Linked DNA regions of Mus musculus. The protein of the gene in region 2 interacts with the protein of the main gene of each other region in a pairwise test. Links are inferred from orthologs where the notes say so. Each region holds a gene or a part of one and is shown on either strand. Other genes may lie near its edges.

Region 1 (10,374 bases), on a different chromosome or scaffold from region 2:
AGCTAATGGATGGATCACAGGGCTCCCAATGGAGGAGCTAGAGAAAGTACCCAAGGAGCTAAAGGGATCTGCAACCCTATAGGTGAAACAACATTATGAACTAACCAGTACCCCGGAGCTCTTGACTCTAGCTGCATATGTATCAAAAGATGGCCTAATCGGCCATCACTGGAAAGAGAGGCCCATTGGACACTCAAACTTTATATGCCCCAGTACAGGAGAACGCCAGGGTCAAAAAGGGGAAGTGGGTGGGTAGGGGAGTGGGGGTGGGTGGGTATGGGGGACTTTTGGTATAGCATTGGAAATGTAAATGAGCTAAATACCTAATAAAAAATGGAAAAAAAAAGAACAGCAATGGCTTGTGCTGTAAGATCGAGAATTGACAAATGGGACCTAATGAAACTCCAAAGTTTCTGCAAGGCAAAAGACACCGTCAATAAGACAAAAAGACCACCAACAGATTGGGAAAGGATCTTTACCTATCCTAAATCAGATAGGGGACTAATATCCAACATATATAAGGAACTCAAGAAGGTGGACTTCAGAAAATCAAATAACCCCATTAAAAAATGGGGCTCAGAACTGAACAAAGAATTCTCACCTGAGGAATACCGAATGGCAGAGAAGCACCTGAAAAAATGTTCAACATCCTTAATCATCAGGGAAATGCAAATCAAAACAACCCTGAGTTTCCACCTCACACCAGTCAGAATGGCTAAGATCAAAAATTCAGGTGACAGCAGATGCTGGCGTGGATGTGGAGAAAGAGGAACACTCCTCCATTGTTGGTGGGAATGCAGGCTTGTACAACCACTCTGGAAATCAGTCTGGCGGTTCCTCAGAAATTTGGACATAGTACTACCGGAGGATCCAGCAATACCTCTCCTGGGCATATATCCAGAAGATGCCCCAACTGGTAAGAAGGACACATGCTCCACTATGTTCATAGCAGCCTTATTTATAATAGCCAGAAGCTGGAAAGAACCCAGATGCCCCTCAACAGAGGAATGGATACAGAAAATGTGGTACATCTACACAATGGAGTACTACTCAGCTATTAAAAAGAATGAATTTATGAAATTCCTAGCCAAATGGATGGACCTGGAGGGCATCATCCTGAGTGAGGTAACACATTCACAAAGGAACTCACACAATATGTACTCACTGATAAGTGGATATTAGCCCAAAACCTAGGATACCCAAGATGTAAGATACAGTTTCCTAAACACATTAAACTCAAGAAAAATGAAGACTGAAGTGTGGACACTATGCCCCTCCTTAGAAGTGGGAACAAAACACCCATGGAAGGAGTTACAGAGACAAAGTTTGGAGCTGAGATGAAAGGATGGACCATGTAGAGACTGCCATATCCAAGGATCCACCCCATAATCAGCATCCAAACGCTGACACCATTGCATACACTAGCAAGATTTATCGAAAGGACCCAGATGTAGCTGTCTCTTGTGAGACTATGCCGGGGCCTAGCAAACACAGAAGTGGAGGCTCACAGTCAGCTAATGGATGGATCACAGGGCTCCCAATGGAGGAGCTAGAGAAAGTACCCAAGGAGCTAAAGGACTAAGATTCTTTTTTTTTTTTTTTTCCAGAGCTGAGGACCGAACCCAGGACCTTGTGCTTGCTAGGCAAGCACTCTACCACTGAGCTAAATCCCCAACCCCCCCAAGGAGCTAAAGGGATCTGCAACCCTATAAGTGGAACAACATTATGAACTAACCAGTACCCCGGAGCTCTTGACTCTAGCTGCATATGTATCAAAAGATGGCCTAATCGGCCATCACTGGAAAGAGAGGCCCATTGGACACTCAAACTTTATATGTCCCAGTACAGGGGAACACCAGGACCAAAAAGGCTGAGTGAGTGGGTAGGGGAGTGGGGGTGGGTGGGTATGGGGGACTCTTGGTATAGCATTGGAAATGTAAATGAGCTAAATACCTAATAAAAAATGGGGAAAAAAAGAATCTATTTCTTATCCGGGCGTGGTGGCGCACGCCTTTAATCCCAGCACTTGGGAGGCAGAGGCAGGTGGATTTCTGAGTTCGAGGCCAGCCTGGTCTACAAAGTGAGTTCCAGGACAGCCATAGCTATACAGAGAAACCCTGCCTCGAAAAAAAAAAAGAATCTATTTCTTTGATGTTTTTAAGGAAGCATATAACGTAATGAGTTTCATGATGACATATTCCCATACCCATTCTCACCCCTATCCCCATCTTGCTAGTTTCCTTCTTTCTCCCTGATTGTCCCTGTTACTACTTTCCTGGTCTCTGTACACAAAGTGACTCTTTCTACCTCTTTAAGGATTCCACCTCCCATTTATGATACCCTTTCCAATTTCATGCCCCACCCAATACAAAATTACACAAGACACAAATTTAACCATGGTTACTCATTTGAAGTTAACCTTGAACCGTCTCTTTCTGCATTTGGTTTGTTTTGTTGAACACATCCATTTATCAGCGCCTCTGAAACCTCTCTGCATCCTCACATAGTGGTGAAGCAGAGGCCTCTTGTCTCTTCCCTCTCTATAGTTCTGTTCATCAGAGCCATATGCATAGGAACATACATTACCTCCATCATCCCTAGGAGAGTTACATGGGACATTATGGCTCCTACATATGAGTGCTATGTGAAATGGGCATATGACATAGATTACATCATAGCATCGACAATGGAACACTAATAATAATTCTAAACCTGACTGAAACATTTATCATACCAACACAGTTTATGTGTCCCTTGCCTGCAGTGGTCCAGGACCCTAGGTCTCATTTGTACTATCTATGTCCTTCAGATATAAGCCTTAATTCTTCTATTCCGTAAGCTCTTCTACCTTTGCTGCCATTCAGCTCTGACTTTGGACTTGGCTCTAGTTCCACATATGTGAGAACTCCCTTAGGCTCTGTTAAGTATCTACATTATCATCTATTCCTGTTCATATAAAATCCTAAATTTCTGCCGGTGTAACTTATTTTTCTAGAGTGATACGTTGTCCCCTAGGCCTGTTGTATATGTTAGTCAGTCTTCACTAGAAACCATATCCTAGGCTACAGAGAAGTATCTTTTAAACAATTATTATTTATCTCAATGTATATGAAGACACTGTTGTTGTCTTCATACACACCAGGAGAGGGCATCAGGTCCCATTACAGATGGTTGTGAGCCAACATGTGGTGGCTGGGATTTGAACTCAGGACCTCTGGAAGAGCAGTCAGCACTTTAACCACTAAGCCATCTCTCCAGCCCCCAAGGAGTATTAGTTATTGTGAGATTGGTGATTACTGCTTACAACACTTTCCTTATGATGACCCTACTGTCTTCCTTACCTTGTTGCTTCCTAAATCCTGTTCTAGGGACCTACCTAGGTCAATGTTAATCTCACTTGGAATGTATTCAATCACACTATGTGCAGTAGTCTACTCTTGTAAGCCCAGTACTCAAGAGGGTGGGTGGGGCACAAATACCACAATTGGGCTATAAAGTGAGTTCCAGTATAGCCTGGGATGCATAATGGAACATATATCAGTGAACAAAAATAAAGCGAAAGATATTGATTATAGCCCAAGAGGAGCTCTGATCCTGATGACTTGGAAGTTGACAGAGGACAACAGCAAATTTGATGCCAGCCTGGGTGATTTAGTGAAACCTCATCAGAAAATGACACAAACAACTGAGTATGTGTGTTAATTTTGATAGTCTTGGTGTTTCAGAGAAGTCTAGGACATAGTAGGAAATGTTCCACTTTTCCTCTGTGTGAAGACATTTTTGAAAGTAATTATGTTTTGGGATCTCTCATCTAATTCCCAACAAATCTATTGGCGATGTTACATGATCTTGGTAGTTACATGGGAGACAAGGATGATTGAGGAATTATCTCATTAGAACCATGTACTTGAGTCTGTTTCCTACCTTGAGCCTTTCCTATATTCCTTTTTGGCCACCCTAATCCAAGATGAAGGGAAGAACAGCCTCCCTTCATACACTGCATGTATGGAAAAAGTGTCTATCAACTGAGCCCACAGAAAGTGTAAGCCCAGAGAAATCGTTCTGCATTGACTTTCTTTCAGGATTCTGTCAACAATGAAGCAATAAAAACTAGTCCTGTGCAGCTCAGTGGTGAGCCCTCGCAATAATGCAGGAGGGTCTGGGTTCAATCCCTAGAATCAGACACTACACTTACTCCCCAAAAGTTAAAACTAGAGGGTTAAAAAAAATAACTTTTGATCTCCATAGACATGAGCATCTGTCTACATTGAGCCTCAGGCTCTTTGGTAGATGAAGGTCCTAAGTGTGGTCAAGCAAAGCCAGATTTTACCACATCACAGAATTTGGATTTGTCACCTTTGTGCAAACAGGGAAGGAAATGTATCCTAGCCAAACAATGAAACGAGATAGTTGTAATTAGAAATATTTCTAGTGTAGCATGGCAGGTAACAGGTGTCCCTAGTAATGACTTGTATATGTGTGTGTGTGCAAGACAGAGAAACATGTTATCATAGACAAATAGAAGGCTGCTTGGCAGTCCTAGGGAAGGAGAGGGCAGTGTGCTTCAGTGCAATGATAGCTGACACACGATTCCTCATAGGAGTAAAGGGCAGGCAGCCAGCAATATGCATTAGGTATATGCCTTGCTAAGTGCAATGTTGATAGGCTTATTATATTTCCCATTGTTTATTGAGTTATTTTGTGCTTGTATGCTTGGATATTGTGTATGTGTGTACACGCACAAATGCGTTCAGTTGTGAATAGCAATGGACACTGTGAGGGAGCCAGTTCTCTGTGTCAACCATGTAGGTCTTTAAGATTGAACTCAAGTCTGACAGCAGGATCCTTTATCACTGAGCCATTTAGCCTGCTTGAAACATTGGTATTCTGCCAGAGTGGCTGTCACACAGTAAGTCAATACTAACAGAGTTCTTAGCATGTACTACCCACAGTGCTGACCAGATGCTTGCCGTACACAGAGATCTATGCTTCAAGAGTACCTGGCACAGAAAAAGCAGTTCTATGGGGCTCAACACAGTGACAATAACAATAGGAAATGTTTGGCATGACGGACAAAGACTCCTAACAATGTTTGGCACATCCTACAAAATTGCTAAGAGAACAAACACTTGACACATGCTTAACTCAGAATTCTAGTAGACTTTTATAAATAAATAAATATAGGTATAAATGTATATAATCAATAAATATATAAATAAATGTATGTATCTATACTGCTGATATTTAGTCTTTCAAAGCTGGAGCTGTAATGTTGAATTGCCACTCCATCCTTCTTCCACCGTGGCCTTATTTCAACTGTCTGTGGATGAGACAAGAAAGAGAAGGAAGAGAAATGCGAGGGAGTTGCCACCACCTACTCAGCGCTCTGTTTCCACCTGTCCTTCAGAGCCTGCATGCTCTCCTTCTGCCCAGCTTCAGAGCTCTACCCCACAAGCACACCCTCTTCTAGAGCATGGGCCTCCCTCACCAGAGAAAGAAATGGCCTACACTTTGAGTGATAACCTGGGATTTAAAAGCCCATAGCATCCTGGCTAGGGAAGGTCTCGAAACTACCCAGCACTGCAGTAAAGGAAGCATGACTTATGACATCTGGTTCAGTCTTGCACCCCAAAGGACTAGAAGTGGATGATTGGGTAGGGTCTAATACCGTATGGGAAACGTGTGTGTTCTGGGTGTTGTGAGATGTGTCAGAGGACCACTTACCAGTTCAGTAATCATCATCTTCTTCCTCTTCAGGATCACTAATCTCTTCATATATCACTCGATACTTCCTCTCTCGCAGCCGGTGGCTCCAAACATTGACCCGAATGCCACTAGTTTCTAAAATGTGGAGAGGTTAGTGCATGAGTGCAAGGCTTTTCTCATCAGAAAAGAACAGGGCTTGGCCCTCCCATGAGCCTCTGGGCCTTTACTGCTGGCTCATGAGACTGAGATGTCAGCCCTACAGCAATACAGACCAAAGGCTAGTTTGGGTTATACCGTCCAGTGTACTCTCTTGTCCCCATCAGGATCCCAACCCCCGATATAGAATTCCTATTTTATCCTCCATTAGGAGGAGGGTCCAGTGACCATTCACTTATATTGTATAGATTTCAGGGTTAGCTTCAGAGCATGTAGAAAACTTGTCCAGTGTCACACGGCTTTCAGAAGGACAAGTCAAATTATGATTATAGAGGCCCATTGTAACATCTGAACTGGTGCTGGGGGGAGTGCCTCACCCAGAAAGACCAAACACCTCGAACAATCTAGGGAAACCAGAGTATTGTTTCCCCTGTGCTTTTTTCTCATCCAACGCCACCCTGTTGTCTGTCCCCAAAGCATGGGATTTCTCTTTGTTGTGCTGGTGTCTCTGAGCCTGCTGTTCCTGGAACACATGTTGGGTTATTCCTCCCGTGCTACCTTCTTCAGCGTTTTTTAAACACTGAAGCACTTATTCAGGTAGTCAGTAGTATGTTTGTATTGTATTAGAGGTTAAGTGTCTTTTCTTGTATTTTTCTAAAGGTTCTATTAACATATATTAGTTATATATGTTGTTCCACTTCATTATTATATTTTATATGCATATATAATGTATTTTAATCATGTGTGTGCCTAATTCCTCGCTTGAGTCACACTGACACCCTTCCTCCCTACCTCTAGATTCCCTTTTATTGCCTCTTGGTTGGTATCAGTGAGACCCAGTGAGTTGAGTTCGGCTTACTTATATGTGCATTGGGCCTCATTGGCCTTTTTCCTAGCACCTGGCAACTGCCATCATATCCTCTGAGAGGGGCAGAAGCTGGTGAGCCCCTCCTTCCATGGCAGAATGTTATTGGCTTGATCTTTTGCAGGTGATTTTAAAGAATTTTTCTTAATGCATTAATCACACTTGAAAAAGTATTTCACTTTTTGTAACTAAATAAAAAAAGAACACATGTGTTCAAATGGCAAAGAAATGTCCTAAGTAAACCTAGTTCCAGAGCTACAATGTTTGCCTTTATATTGTTAAAACACTGTCATTTGCACAACCAGAAGAGATATAATTAAGAGTAAGGAACAAATATTAGGCGAAGAAAAGCGCTGGAAGAAGCCACAGGCTCTGGGAGAGGCAGGAATATGAAATACATGGCTGCACACAGAAGCTGGTGGTATACTGCGTGCACAGTATGTAAAGCGTGAACAGAATGAAGGAGATAGCACTGCATGCACCTTGGTGCCACGTCCAGATGAACGCACCATGGTGGCATGAGGTAATGAACACACAATGGTAGTGAGTGCAAATGAATGCACCGTGGTGGCTTGTGCAGGTGAACGCACCATGCTGGCATGTCCAGGTGAATGCACTGTGGTGGTTTGTGCATGTAAATGCCCCGTGGTGACGTGTGCAGGTGAATGCAGCAGTGGACAGGATAGAAAGAAAGGAGACAGTGATGTAGGTATTAAAGAACCTCGTGCCAGAGGTAGTATCTCATGTGATGCTGGTGAGAGCACTTCAGGTGGAACTGGGCAAGCTGGTGCCTACACCTTTTCTGTTGATATGCCAAGATGTGCCATTAGTCACTAATCCTCAGCTACCTTTCATTCACCTTCCTGAGTCATGTATGAGGGAGTATATGTACAACCAAAAGAAGTCAGAAACTGAATGTAAAGCCTTTTATTGTATGTTTACATTTGTATTTCTCTGTATGTCTCTGTGTATGTGGAAGATGTATGTGGGTATACCTGTGGAGGAAACACTGTGTCAGATAATCTGGAACTAGAGTTTCAGATAATAGTAAGCACCTACATATGCACTATCAGGATTCCTCCCTTCACACAGTCAGTCCTTTCCTGGGGCCTCACTGGTCACTAACCTCAGCTCCCAGAATTCTCTCTACACTACACTGGACCCTGCAGCTGTCGAAACCCCCATTCCATAGTCAGGTGCCTCCTGGGGTCCTCTAACTTGGGACTGTGGGGCAGAAAGTTTTCAGGTATATACATGTCCTGAACTTGATCACAGTGGAAGGGGTCTACTATGAAAGCCCTGTCATTTGTAGCCAGAAGAGTGTATGGGCCCTTCACAGAGCCTAGGCCAGCTGGAGATCCCTATGTGGAAAGTGAGTGTCAGGATGAAAGAATGTGCAAGCTCTGTGAGAGAATACTGACAGGAGCATCACCTAGGCTTCAGAAACTAAGGAAGACTGGACTATACTTCAGTGAGTTGGGCTACAGATTAGCAAGCTAGTGGACCTGCTCTTTGGGTCAATAATCTAGCACAGTTGAGGCAATCCTCATTATCAGTTCTCTAAGTACTAAAATACTCTAATTGAAGAAACACGGGTCCTGTATTGTAACTCTGACCAAGAACCTGTAGTTATACAGGACCCCTGGGAAACCTGTTACTGTGATTATGATAAATGAATGGCCCCTGGTAGGGCAACCATACTCCACTAGATGGTTCTACATCCCACAGTATGTAGATAGCACAAATTGGCCTTGAGTTTTTTATTTATAAAAAAATTAAAATAAAAACGGTATGGATGTTGGGTGAAAAACAGCTGGGAAAGATGTTTTATATTCATTGGATGAAAGGGTGGGGTATGTGTGAATATGATTAAAATAAATGATATAAAATCCTCAAAGAATTAAATAAATACCAAATTGACAAACAATATAATATGTTAAGGATAGGAAATAGATTGCAGCCAACCTGCCAAGTTGGAATCATTCTTTACAGAGGCAAGGCTTCCTTCTACATTATGAATACTTATTGTCACTGATGTCAGCTATAAAAGAGAATCAGAGTAAAGACATTTTGTCAAATAGTAATCTATAGGGAGTGTTTCTGCTACTTGATAAAGGGTGTTCTAATTTCCTGGATAATATTTAGAACAGGGCCTGGCAAATAAATAAAATCATCACATGTCAAAATTAACCAGACCTGAAGATTCAATGACTCTAAATATATAGATTAACTATATATAACTCTATGAAAGATACAGTAAAAATTGGCATTTGAAACAGCATGTGAAGCAACACATTAAAATTTACACTTTAAGTATCAAACATATATTTATACACTTATCCACCACCAAGAAGAAAACTGTGTCCTCAACAATGTGGAAAGGAAAAAAGGAAAAAAAAAGAGTTGGCTGGCGAGATAGCTCAGTGGTAAAGGGCACTGGCTGCTCTTCCGGAGGTCCTGAGTTCAAATCCCAGCAACCAAATGGTGGCTCACAACCATCTGTAATGAGATCTGATGCCCTCTTCTGGGCTGTCTGAAGACAGTTACAGTGTGCTTACATATAATAATAAATAGGTCTTTTAAAAAAAAACCAATGTGGACATGAACTGAGGGACAAACAGGGTGCATTCCTAAGGAAAGAGGTGATACTTGCCTTCATTCGTTTTCTCGGTGTCACACCAAAAGATCCTTCAAAGCATTCATCTACAGATAGTAACAAGTCAGAAGGTTTTGTTTGTTAGTAAATATTCCAAAGGCTCAGAATCTTGCTGATTTAGGGAAGGCTAGAGTGGAGAGTGGGCCCATTTTTGGAGGAGGAGCTAGTGGAGCCTGGCTCTCTTTCATCTGACCAATGACAGGTGCCCTTTTAGAAGTCTCCTTCTGATTGGATAGGAAGTGTCAGCTAAGCCTCATCACTGCCTCATCCCCTCACAAGATGGTAGGACACAGGATATTCTGACTCTCTTTGAAGGTGTTACACATTGGCCATTTACTTATTATCCAGTATAATGTACACAATAATGTTTTAGAATTGTGCATGACAGGATCTTCTACATAATCCTCAGAGTGAGCTCTGTTCCACACAACCCTGATCTGAACAAGAAAAGAGCTGCCTATCACTTTAGCATGCATCCTGACTGAGAAGGTGAACTTTCATAGCCCCTCCCTGATCACTCACCATCACTGTCATGATCTTCAATGCCTTCGACCAGGGATTGCTTGTCCTGCTCCTTGCCACGCATGAAAACTGGTTGGTTCACGGTGACCCCTAAGAGGAAGCAGAGTGTTTGTTCTTTAACAGGCAGCACAACGAGGGGAAATGGTGCTAGAAACTGGGCTACAGCCCAGATCTTAAGGCCCATAAGAGGCCAGCACTCTATTGCCTATGATCTATGCTGTCAGCTCTGCAAAGGGTGGAAAAGAGCAGCTGCAGGCTCGACAAGCACCTTGACATTTCTCAGGAAAGAAAGGTATCATGGGAGAGGGCCCTGCTACAGTTTGAGAAGATGTGGCATAGCAAACAAACTGGGAACCACCAGACTGGTCTGAACCCAGATTTCATCTTACCTAGGTCAGTCATTCTGATGTAGTTTCTTTTCATGTACACGTAGGCACTTTTCTGCCATTGAGTCAGCTTTCCCCACTCT
Region 2 (10,918 bases):
CCTTATGTATGCTTTAGAGCAGCTCATTGTGATGGCAGAAAGGGAGGGGCTATTGCCATGGTCTGGATCAAGGAATGAGGAGGAGTGGACTTCATCAAGGCGGAGTAGAGGGAATTGAGAGACTTAGGCAGTGGTAGAAACTGGAGCCAACAGGAATGCAAAGGGTAAAACGGAAAACCAGGGGCAGCGCTGAAGTTGCTCAAGTCCAGCAACTGACATGGGAAACCAAGGAGAGTGGGCAAGACCTGACTGGCAGAAGAGGACACAGTGTTCCGGGCACACGGGTGGACCTCCAGAGGGGAGGGGAGCACTGCCACACTGACTCGGAAGTTTTCTGAGTGGGTGGCAGTGGCTGAAGTTATATAAACACATGTGTTTCTGGCGAATTTCATAGAGCTAATCTTTAAATAAACCATTATTTAGGTTTAAAGCAGAAATATTTCCCAAAAGGAGTAGAAACAGGTGGAGTAGCATCAGAAAAAGAAAATGGAGTTATCCAATCCTGTTCCAATGACATCAGGAAGGAATAGTATGATATTAAAGATAAAAAGAGTTCAAATGCTACAAATAATCTAAGAATTGACTGTGTAAATGCAGTGCTTACTAATATTAATAAGTCCTAAGATAATATTATATAAGCATATAGCCATATATCCATATTTATGTATTTCTAAGGTTTTAAACCTTCATTTGGTACTCAGTAGGTAAGATGCATTGTGTACAGTTTTAGGACTTACATGTTTAAACAATATATAGTCTAGCTAGAAAGACACATAAACATATACATATATACCAATAATGATATCTGGGGCATATTGTTGATAGCAAGATCTTCTAATGTACTTTTAAAAACCCTAAATACTATAATAATAAAGAGACTAGAGATATTTTTCTTTCTAGGAAGATAAAGACAGCTTTGTAGAGAAGATGCAGTTGAATTGGTCATATTATATTGACAGATATGATGTTATTAATAATGTAGTGTTTTAGAATATTTCTAATAGTCTTACACTCAGTAATTATATGTTATACAAGTTATTCTTTACAAGAAGTCAGCCTGCAAAGCCAGATTTACTGTCTAGCCTGATCTAGGAACTTTTCTTATGGGATAAAAAAATGTGCCTCAAATTTCCTAGGCAATTAGTAGGAAAGCAGGTATTGAAATCCAAAACTATTTGACTTAAGCACTGACCCCATTTTTTTTCTATGCCCAGTGCTGCACTGACTCTCATAGAATGAACAATGTTCTCCAGGAGGCTGGCAGGGAGGGCAGAAGGCTCTAAGTAGGGAGGTCAACATTTGCAGAGGCATTTAGTCTTGAAAAGGCAGAGCGCTTCTGAGGAAAGAGACAGGCAGTGCAGTAGGGAGAAAGATAACAGGAGGAAATAATATGAAGCATCATTGGTCAACAGCTTTGCATGTCTATTTCATTGAGTTCCTACATTTGTGAGGAAGGCATGTCACTGTGAATATCAGCATGAAGTTTCAAAACAAACTCCAAGTACCTACCTACGCATTGTAACCCAAAGCCTAAGTTTTCAAATTATCATGTTATATTAATCATATATGCACATCTTTATTTTTATCATAATTATTTTTCAGTTATAATATAAGAACATGGTTAATATGTACCATGGACCTTGGAATTAGGAAATTACTTTGAATCTTATAAAGAACAGTTTCAGCCAGTTGCCAACAATGTAATAAAGAGCAGAGGAATAGGTAGATATTAAAAAATTAAAGATTATTATTGATCATCTACTCAAGATTTGGCTGTGAAGAGAGAAGAGATCTCTCTCATTTGATTTTATAAAGTATTTACATACTTTCAAAGAATTACTACAATGAAAAGTCAGACACTATAGAGCATACTTAGCCTATCTTACCAAGTTTTATTTATTGTCTTTTCAGAGGATAATCTCCCTAAAAATTCCGGAGAATGCACAGGCTGATGTTCATATAACCACGATGAAGATGCACACTACTACCTAATTTGTGGCTAACAAAACAAATAGAAGACGTAAAAGAAATAGCTCACGTGGGTCTTCTTGGAAACCAGAATGAAAGAGTGGAGAAGCAATTTCAACACTTAACTTTTATAAATGACATGTTGTACTTAAACCGATCCCCAGATTGGTAGTATTCCACTAAAAAGATTTTGTTTGTGGTTAAACGTGCAAAATAAAGATGATAAAAGTTTGCTTAATAGCTAAAACTACCCAATTTACTAATTTCCCGAGACAACAATCTTTCCACTCCCTGGGATACGAAAGATCTTTCTTTTAAAACATGATAATGCTAACTGGCAAGATAAATATTGACATCTCCAACATTTTGAAAACTAACTGGTCTCAAGAAACCCTTATTTTAGGGAATTTTAGTCACATAGCAATGAAGTACTTACATATAAACTTTGACATTTAAAATTATTTGTAGACGGTACAAACAGGAGTAAATCACAACTGTCCAAGTTGCTGTGATTTACAATACAATTTATATATCACAGCATTTTTAGTTTGTTAATGCACATTGCAAATAACCAGATGTAGTTTCCAAATGAATTTGTACCCAATCTTAAAACAGATAATTAACAGGACTTAATCAAAAGTTTCAAGGTACAATGGCAGTAAAGATTAAAGTGTGTAACCCCTGAATTATTCCAAAATGCCTTTGCCTCGATTCCCCTGAGTCTGGTCTATCAATTTAAATACAGTTGCAGAGATGATGGGGAAACGGCTGAGATGACTGATTTCACCTAGGAAGTCAAGGGAGTAACGGTCCTTGGGCATACAACCTAATACTCAGAGTCTGAAAGAGAAAAGATAAAGATGCTGTGTTGGCAACTAGAGGTGATACAGTTTGTGAATGCTGCCGTGCTGCTGTTACTCGTACAAAAGAAGGTTAGGACGACACGCCGTATTCCATAACAAACTTCTTCAGAAAATGCTGCTACAGTGTTCAAGTTCCATAAATTAATAACGGACATCTTTGCTTGGGAAATTGTTAACATTCTGTGCACTGTTGTAAGGACGGACTGATTATGCAGCTTTGTTTAAATTTTAATAAAAATGCAAAGAACTGTCAAAATAAACAAATATAATTATGCACTCTGAAAGCTGCATCGCATACTTCTAAAGAACAACACAAGAAAATTAATTTCTGTGTACTGGGTTGAGTGCAGCTAGAGGCTCAGTGAACAAGGTCACAGGAGATCTCTTCTCCAGGGCCCTGACAGTGAGGCTCAGTGAGAGCAGCTGCTGGTTACTTGACTGCCCCTCCCCTTTGCAAATAACACTGGGGAAGGATTTAAGCACCGCAGAATCCACGAGCTGATCCGGGGCATTTAGTATATACAACCTGTCCCAAATCATAGGGTAACAATAAGGGCCAAGCAAATAATTTTTTCTATTGAAAAAGGAAGTGAAATGTCAGCTTAAAAAGTTCATTTTGGCTACTTTTTCCTGAGAGCATTAGTAAGTATACAAACAAGAAAAACTATGTGGACTGTTGGGTTTCCCAAGGAAAGTTTTTTTTTTTTTTTTTTTTTTTCCTTTTCTTTTCTCTAACGTTTCATGCCTTTAGGGTCAGGGCTGGATCGGTTACTTACTTCTGAACCTTTTCGTTGGCTGCCTGGGAGGCCTCCACAGCACACTGAAGCTGTAATTCCATGTGAGAGTGCTCAGTGAGAGCCTGCTGAAGTTGGGTGGCCAGTTCTTCATTCTGTTGCTGAGTGATGGAGACAACGCTCTCTCTGTTTTTTAAGGCTTCTTCATAGGTACTAAGGGCATGGTTAAACTGATCCTTCAGGCTTTCTTCTTGAGATAATGATTTGTGCAAGCTGAGAAAATGTAAAAATACAAATATAAATAATGTAGGCTAAAAGTTCAATGATTTGTTTAATAAAAAAAATCTTCATGTGAAACCCCTCTTCTAAAAATCAATATAGAATACCTAAATGGGCAAATGTAAATAGCTTTTATAACGTATTATTATAATTGATCATTGTTCTGTAACTCTGCTACTAGGCCAGGAGCAATGCAGACAACTGATTATCTATGCTATCAAAGCACACAGAAAGATGCTGTAAAATGTTAATTTAATTATGTCAGTGTAAATATTACATTCAATTTTCTTTTAAAGGGATAGCACAGAACTGGAAAATAAAGTATTTCTAGGTAAATAAAAGTATAATAAGCTGACTGCAAAGACAGGGGAGGAGAATGGACATCGGTCTAGGAGATCTAGGGCCTATCGAAGTACTAAGTGAGAATGGACGAGGTTTGTGCAAATACCCAGCAGCCTCACACACAGACCCTTCCACCTGCCACAGTGGAAGGATGAATGATGTAAAGTCACCAGTCAGAGGATGTGCATCCAGATACCTATCTTTATGGCTAATGAACCTTATGATAAATACATCTACTCATTAAGTGATATGGAGAAAGAGCATATAAATTAAGACGAAATGAATGCAGAAGAAAATGCAGACAAATAGAATCCTAAAATGCTAAAGGTCAGATCTTTGATATGTCATTACACCCACCACCTGAGGTTATTTTGAAATGGCACCAAGCACCTCACTCAATTAAATAAAGACATTTTGAAAATATAAATATTTAATAAGGGAAATTTAAAATCCACATAGGAGATGTTCTTTTTTTATTAAATAAAATCATTCTGGTATATGAATACAAAGGAAATGTCGCCAGAAGTGTTGGAAGTGCAACCACTGAGCTATATAACACAAGTTGAGAATATGAATGAAAGCAATATAATTCTTAAAGCCGCAAAAAAGCTAGTTGGAGAACTTCAGTACTGGCCTAATACTAGCCTGATGCTTCATCTAAAACTGTTCAGATGAGTGTGATTATCTATTTCTTCTTTTCAAGTTACAGAAAAGCCTCTACAGTGTCCTCAATATGGGGTAGGTATCGCATAGAAACCAAGACAGTTAACATATCAAAAGAAATCATTTCAGGATTTAAATTAATCCCCAACAATAGAGAATGGTGCTAAACTCTGGTCAGTTGGTTATCCCGTGTAAAATTACAATGAAGTGCAGAGAGATATGTGACTCCCTTTACATCCCAGCACAGAGGCTACTCATTATTCAGGTTGTCTCCCAAAGATTCCCCTTCCATCAGGATGTTATCCAGCTACAGTCTACAGTACCAAACAGTAGGAATTAGTGATTTTTTTTTAAATTACTTTTATTTTTTTTACAGTCCAGTTGTTATCCCCCTCCTTGTCCTCCCTCCCACAGTTCCTCATCCCATTCCTCTGCCCCCCTGTCTTCAAGAGGATGTCACCACTCCCCCCCCCCCCCCGCCCCCATACTTCCAGAACTCCCTACTCCCTGGGGCCTCAGGTCTCTGGAGACAGCTGGTTTTCCCATGGGGTTGCCCGACTCCTCAGCTTCTTCCAGTCTTTCCCTAATTCAACCACAGGGGTCCCCAGCTTCTGTCCATTGATTGGATCTGGCTCTGTCTCAGTCTGCTACTTGTTGGGCCTCTGGGAGCACAGCCATGCTAGGATCCTGTCTGTAAGCACACCATAGCATCAGTAATAGTGAGACCTTGGAGCCTCCCCTTGAGATGGATCCCAAGTTGGGCCAGTGGCTGGACTGCCTTTAAGTGGTATCACTTAACACCCTGCAGGGGCATCTCATGCACTCTGGGAAAAAAAAAATCCCTAAAAATAACAAATTATATATTTTAACTCACTGAACCTGCAAACAACCTTTTTGAATAGTTTCATTCACTGTCTTTGTTTTATGAGTGAAGAAACTGAAACAGAGAGAGGCAGGGAATTTAAATAATCCCATCACCCCAGCAGTACCCCCTAGCCGAGCCTGCATTTGAACCCACAGCCACACTCCTAGCCCCTGTGTTTGAACACTTACTCCGTGCTTGCCATAGCTCTTCACTGGCTTTTCGACCTTCAACCAGTTTCTTAAACAGAAAGCTTTTCCTGCCCACTGCATTTGCACCACTTTCCCTCTGTGACAAACTCCTACTCACTGGGGAGATTTCAGTCTAAACTCTGCTTCTGCACACAAACCTTTGAGACTCTCCAAATTTAAATTGTTTATTGTTAGTCCTTTGGTAACTACATCCAACATATAATGTATTCTGGTTACTCTCCCCCCCCCCCACCCCCGCACCTTCTCTTATCTTCCTCTCTTATCAACCTAATTTTCACCTGCCAGTCCCTTTCTCAGATGCAAGACTTTGAATTTGGTTTGGTTTGGTGATCCACTTAGTTTAATCAGGGCCACCTGGTGGAATCTGCTGTGGGTATACAATGGAAGGCAAAGACTTCTCTCTTCCTCTCTATCAGTAGGAGACAGTTCAGAGTGAGTGGCCATCAGCAGTCCTTGTGCAGATTTGGAGTGGTCACCTGTGTTTGTCGAGAGGTTGTAATTATAAAGGCCCTGTAGTATTCAGAATTTGGCCTTTGGCATTAGAGCATTTTGCAGCCCTTTTCTCTGGCCTTTACATTTGTTCTCTCTCCTCTCTTGCAATGCCCCCTGAACCTAGGAGGGGATGATATTAAATGCCTTGTGTAGGGCTGAACACTCAGCTGACACCTATTCCTGTACTTGTGTAGCCCTAAGTCTCTGTAAGCACCACAATTCACTGGAAAGAGTATCTCTGATAAAGGTTGTAGTTATCTTTGTGTATAAGCACACACACATGCGCACAAACAAACACACACAATTTAGAAGGCAGTTTGAGCATATGTCAGTGTAGCTAAACAATAGAACTAAATTCATTATTAGTGTGATTACAAGACTCATGAAGCCACTATGGAAATTTGTGGAAACTACCACAGGATTATTCCTCTGTTGGACATATTCCCCACCCCAATTATTTTTTAAAAGTTTATTGTATTATATTTTTCTTATTCACTTTACATCCCACTCACTGTCCATTTCACGGTCACCCCTTCCCACAGTCCTCTCCCTATTCCCATACCCCTTCTCCTCTGAGTGGGTGTACCGCCCCAAAAATTTATAGCCTACTACTGAAATACCTGTTCATCCATACTTATTGCTACTGTATTTACAATAACTAGGAAATGGAATGAGTCAAGATGCTCATCAATTGATGAGTGGATAATGAAAAATGTGGTACATATACACAATGGATGAGATTGACAGGTAAGTGGATGAAATTGGAAAAAAAATTATACTAAGTGAGGTAACCCAGGCACAGGAATAAATAATACTGTATGTGACCCTCTGTTTGAATCTCTCATTTTGTGTTTTCAACATAAAGCGTTCCTACAGACACCAGTAGTCTATGAAAGAAGCTATTGGGAGAAAGATACTGTGTTCGGGTTTTACTGCTGTGAACAGACAACATGATGAGAGCAAGTTTTATAAAGAACATTTAATTGGGGCTGGCTTACAGGTTCAGAGGTTCAGTTTAATATCATCAAGGCGGGAACATGGCAGCATCCAGGCAGGCATGGTGCAGAAGGAGCTGAGAGTTCTACATCTTCATCTGAAGGCTGCTAGTGAAAGACTGGCTTCCAGGCCACTAGGAAGAGGGTCTTAAGCCCATACCCACAGTGACACACCTACTCCATCAATTCCACACCTCCCAATAGGGCCACTCCCTGGGCCAAGCATATACAAACCATCACTTTAAGGGAGAGAGGACGTTAAGCACAGGTGTTATGAATGTAGAGGATGTAATACTGGGGATAGAGAGGTTTACACAGGGAGGAGGTGGCAGGGTAGGAAACAGGAGGCGCCAGGTTAATGAAAAGGAAGGCTATATGAAAAATCCACGGGAAAGCTACTCTCTTATAATTATATATGGCTCTTGCCATTTTTTTGTTTGCCTACCATGACTACAAGATAAGAATATACCAACTTTATAGATGAATATACCACCTACTGTGGTGGTATGATATAGAAAAATGATGCTAGAACTAAGCTAGAAGAATTGTCCTTGCTAGAAAGCTTTTACAGTGTAGGAAGGTCCTGTGTGGTCAGCTGAGGAAGAAAGAAGGGAGGTGTCAGTGGACCTAGCTGTGAGCCCTATGAATGGCACTATCAACTTGCCAGGCAAGATGTGCACACTTGTGCAATAATGGCACAAATCTTATGAAGGCAAGTAATAGGTCTCTGACTGGAGTAGAGAATTGCTTCACAGGAAGGAATCCACACCTGGTGTTGGTATTATAAATTCACTCAAAAGCCCATGACAGGGCTGAGAGATGGCTCAGTGGTTAAGAGCCTCAGTTGCTCTTCCAGAGGTCCTGAGTTCGACTCCCGGCAACCACATGCTGGTTCACAACCATCTGTAATGAGTTCTGATGCCCTCTTCTGGCCTGCAAATGTATATGCAGGAGAGCACTCCATAATAAATAAGTCTTAATTTAAAAAGCCCACAGTAGCTTAATCCCAGCACTCGGGAGGCAGAGGCAGGCAGATTTCTGAGTTTGAGGCTAGCCTGGTCTACAGAGTGAGTTCCAGGACAGTCAGGGCTACACAGAGAAACTCTGTCTCGAGAAAACAACAACAAAACCAAAACCAACCAACCAAACAAAACCCACACTAGACAGGTCATAGGGCTTAAGGGGAAGTTACAATTTAAATTTTGATGTTTTCTCTGCGAGTGTGTCTCATAACCCTACTCATGTACTCTTCATAACTTAATGAATGTGCTTTCCCCTTACTTTGTAGTTTACATCCCACTGACCATATACTAATATTCCATTACTAACTGTATAGTGAATTTTAGGTAAATATTAACTGTAAGGTCTATTTTATTTTATGGGAACTACATATTCATTATGAACTTTAAAAGTTAAAATGTTTATACTTGTAAGGAAATTTTCCTATATGAGCCCACAATAGGGAGAGTAGAGAGTAAAGTGTGGAGCCTACGCTCTCAGCATATGGACGTTGGCAAACACCGAGAGACACTGCCTTCTTGTTTCATAGTGCCCTACTCTACACGGACACCAGGACTCCACTGTTTAGCTCTCCTTGGGGAATCCTATTGCATACACTCTCCTTTAAAATGATTTACTTCTAGATTCATTTGTCACCATGGCAGAAGCAGCACAACTTAATGAGCCATGGGAATAAACTAAGCTATAGGAAGAAGAACTGACAGGAAACCAGAAGAGTCATGAAATTACAGAAATCCAAAGCTCGCGACCAATGTCATACAGAATTGTAACTATTTCCTGCTCGCTATGAAGGTAATGAGATACGATAAACAGAATTTCAAATCACGTTTCAGTTTTGAAATTATATAACCCTAGTGATTTAATGTTCTCAAATATTAAAAAAAAATGAGACTTTAAAACATTACTAAGTTACAGTAATAGTTAATCTCAACTGTCAACTTCTCAGGATTTAGAATTCCTGGGTTTGTCTGTAAAGGTTTTTTTTTTTTTTTTTTAAGGAAAATTGAACAGAGGTGGGAAGACCTATCTTGACAGTGGACAGTTCAGATGAGCCTTATTCTCTTCAGTGGCTCCTCTGAGGTGCTTCCTCATAGCAAGGAGAAGAGTATCACAGAACTACTTCACATCCTCACATTTTAATCTCTAAGATTTTGACTCATCTCCTGATCACTGTATTAAATACAGCCGAGGGTCAAGGTGGAGAATGTTTCTCGGTGGGCACTTCTCCAGTAAGAGGCACGTAACGGACTGTGTGTGTGTGTGTGTGTGTGTGTGTGTGAGTGGGAGTGATTCAAATACTTGCTGTGTTTTAGGCTGGCCTAGAACTTGCTATAGTCCTCTCAGACCTGGGTTTATAGTCATGTGCGACTGAACCTGGCTTAGATCTCCTTTCTGTAATGCTTTTTCTCTCTGTTTCGATATTTCCGGGATGTCTCCTGTCCACAGTGCTAAGATTTTCCTGGATCCCGACTGTGTACTGCTTCCGCATAAAGCATTTGTGTACAATCGGGCCTATGCCCACACAATGACATGCATTTCCATGCGGTATATGTTCTCCTCACCTTGTCTGCTTCCTTCTTGTCAAACTCAATTTTAAAGTCACCCTTGGGATCCGCTGAGGTACTTGTGCATTTACACCACATTTTGATGCTACTTTTCTGATGTCTTCTCTTTTCTCCGTGGCGTATTATTCAAGTCCGAAGTGGCACATTTCACTTATTTCTCTACAATCAGCACCTAACTTTCAGTTTTTATGCTCCATTTGCCTTGCAATAATTGCTTAATAAATAATGTGATCTATATAAACTGTTTAATTGGATAAATAATTTGGATTTATAGTTTAGAGGTAAGGTAATATAGACTAGACTTCTTTTATTTTAGCCTTTGTGCGAATGCATGCATGGTGTGTTTGTATGTATGACGTGTGTGTGTGTGTCCATTTGTACTGATGCCATGGTATGTGTGTAGAGGTCAGAGGACAAACATCAAAGGACTGTCCTCACTGGAAGCACTTTGTTTGAGATGGTCCCTGTTTCATTCAGCACTGGGTAAGACAGACCAGCTGTGCTCTGCTTCTTGCTGGAGGAGCATTGGTATGCTCTGTACAGCATCCGGCTTTCTGAGGCTCCGGGAACTCTAACCCAGATCCTGAGCCTGCATAGCTAGTATATCACCCTGTGAGTCACCTCCTTGGTGCAACCAGTACTTCTAGCCTTGGAGTAATTTTATCCCCAAAAGTCATTCTGCAGTATCTAAAGACATTTTTAATTGTTAAAACCATAGCCTCCTTGGAACAAGTGGAAAGTGGGAAGGGGGCCGGAAGTGCTGCTAACTAGGGAAGTACAGCTTCTGCCAACAGCTAGCCAGTCTATCACTTCAAGGATTCTGAGAGGGATGCAGATGAACCGATGCAGACGTGCACTGTACAGAAGACAGAGGGTAAGTTTTAGTCTTGTGCTCTACTGTGTAACCTTTGGAAAATGTTTTC

What was found. The genes of interacting proteins can lie anywhere in the genome.
Region 1: the proteins of Mipol1 (region 2) and Ssxb9 interact in binary tests that used the Homo sapiens proteins (3 or more experiments, as listed by UniProt). The two-hybrid records come from large-scale screens. The link is inferred for Mus musculus from reciprocal best matches to the Homo sapiens genes MIPOL1 and SSX3.

What each region holds. Positions count from the first base shown.
Region 1 is NC_000086.7:8,370,157-8,380,530, reverse strand, and holds the end of Ssxb9 (synovial sarcoma, X member B, breakpoint 9), read right to left. Parts: coding exon 10,295-10,374; intron 9,996-10,294; coding exon 9,906-9,995; intron 9,431-9,905; coding exon 9,381-9,430; intron 8,769-9,380; coding exon 8,693-8,768; intron 5,842-8,692; coding exon 5,729-5,841; 3' UTR 5,725-5,728; exon of another isoform or gene 5,698-5,724; intron 5,321-5,697; 3' UTR 5,143-5,320; downstream 1-5,142. UniProt on the Homo sapiens protein: Could act as a modulator of transcription.
Region 2 is NC_000078.6:57,449,873-57,460,790, reverse strand, and holds the end of Mipol1 (mirror-image polydactyly gene 1 protein homolog), read right to left. Parts: intron 10,870-10,918; exon of another isoform or gene 10,415-10,869; intron 3,839-10,414; coding exon 3,604-3,838; 3' UTR 3,550-3,603; downstream 1-3,549.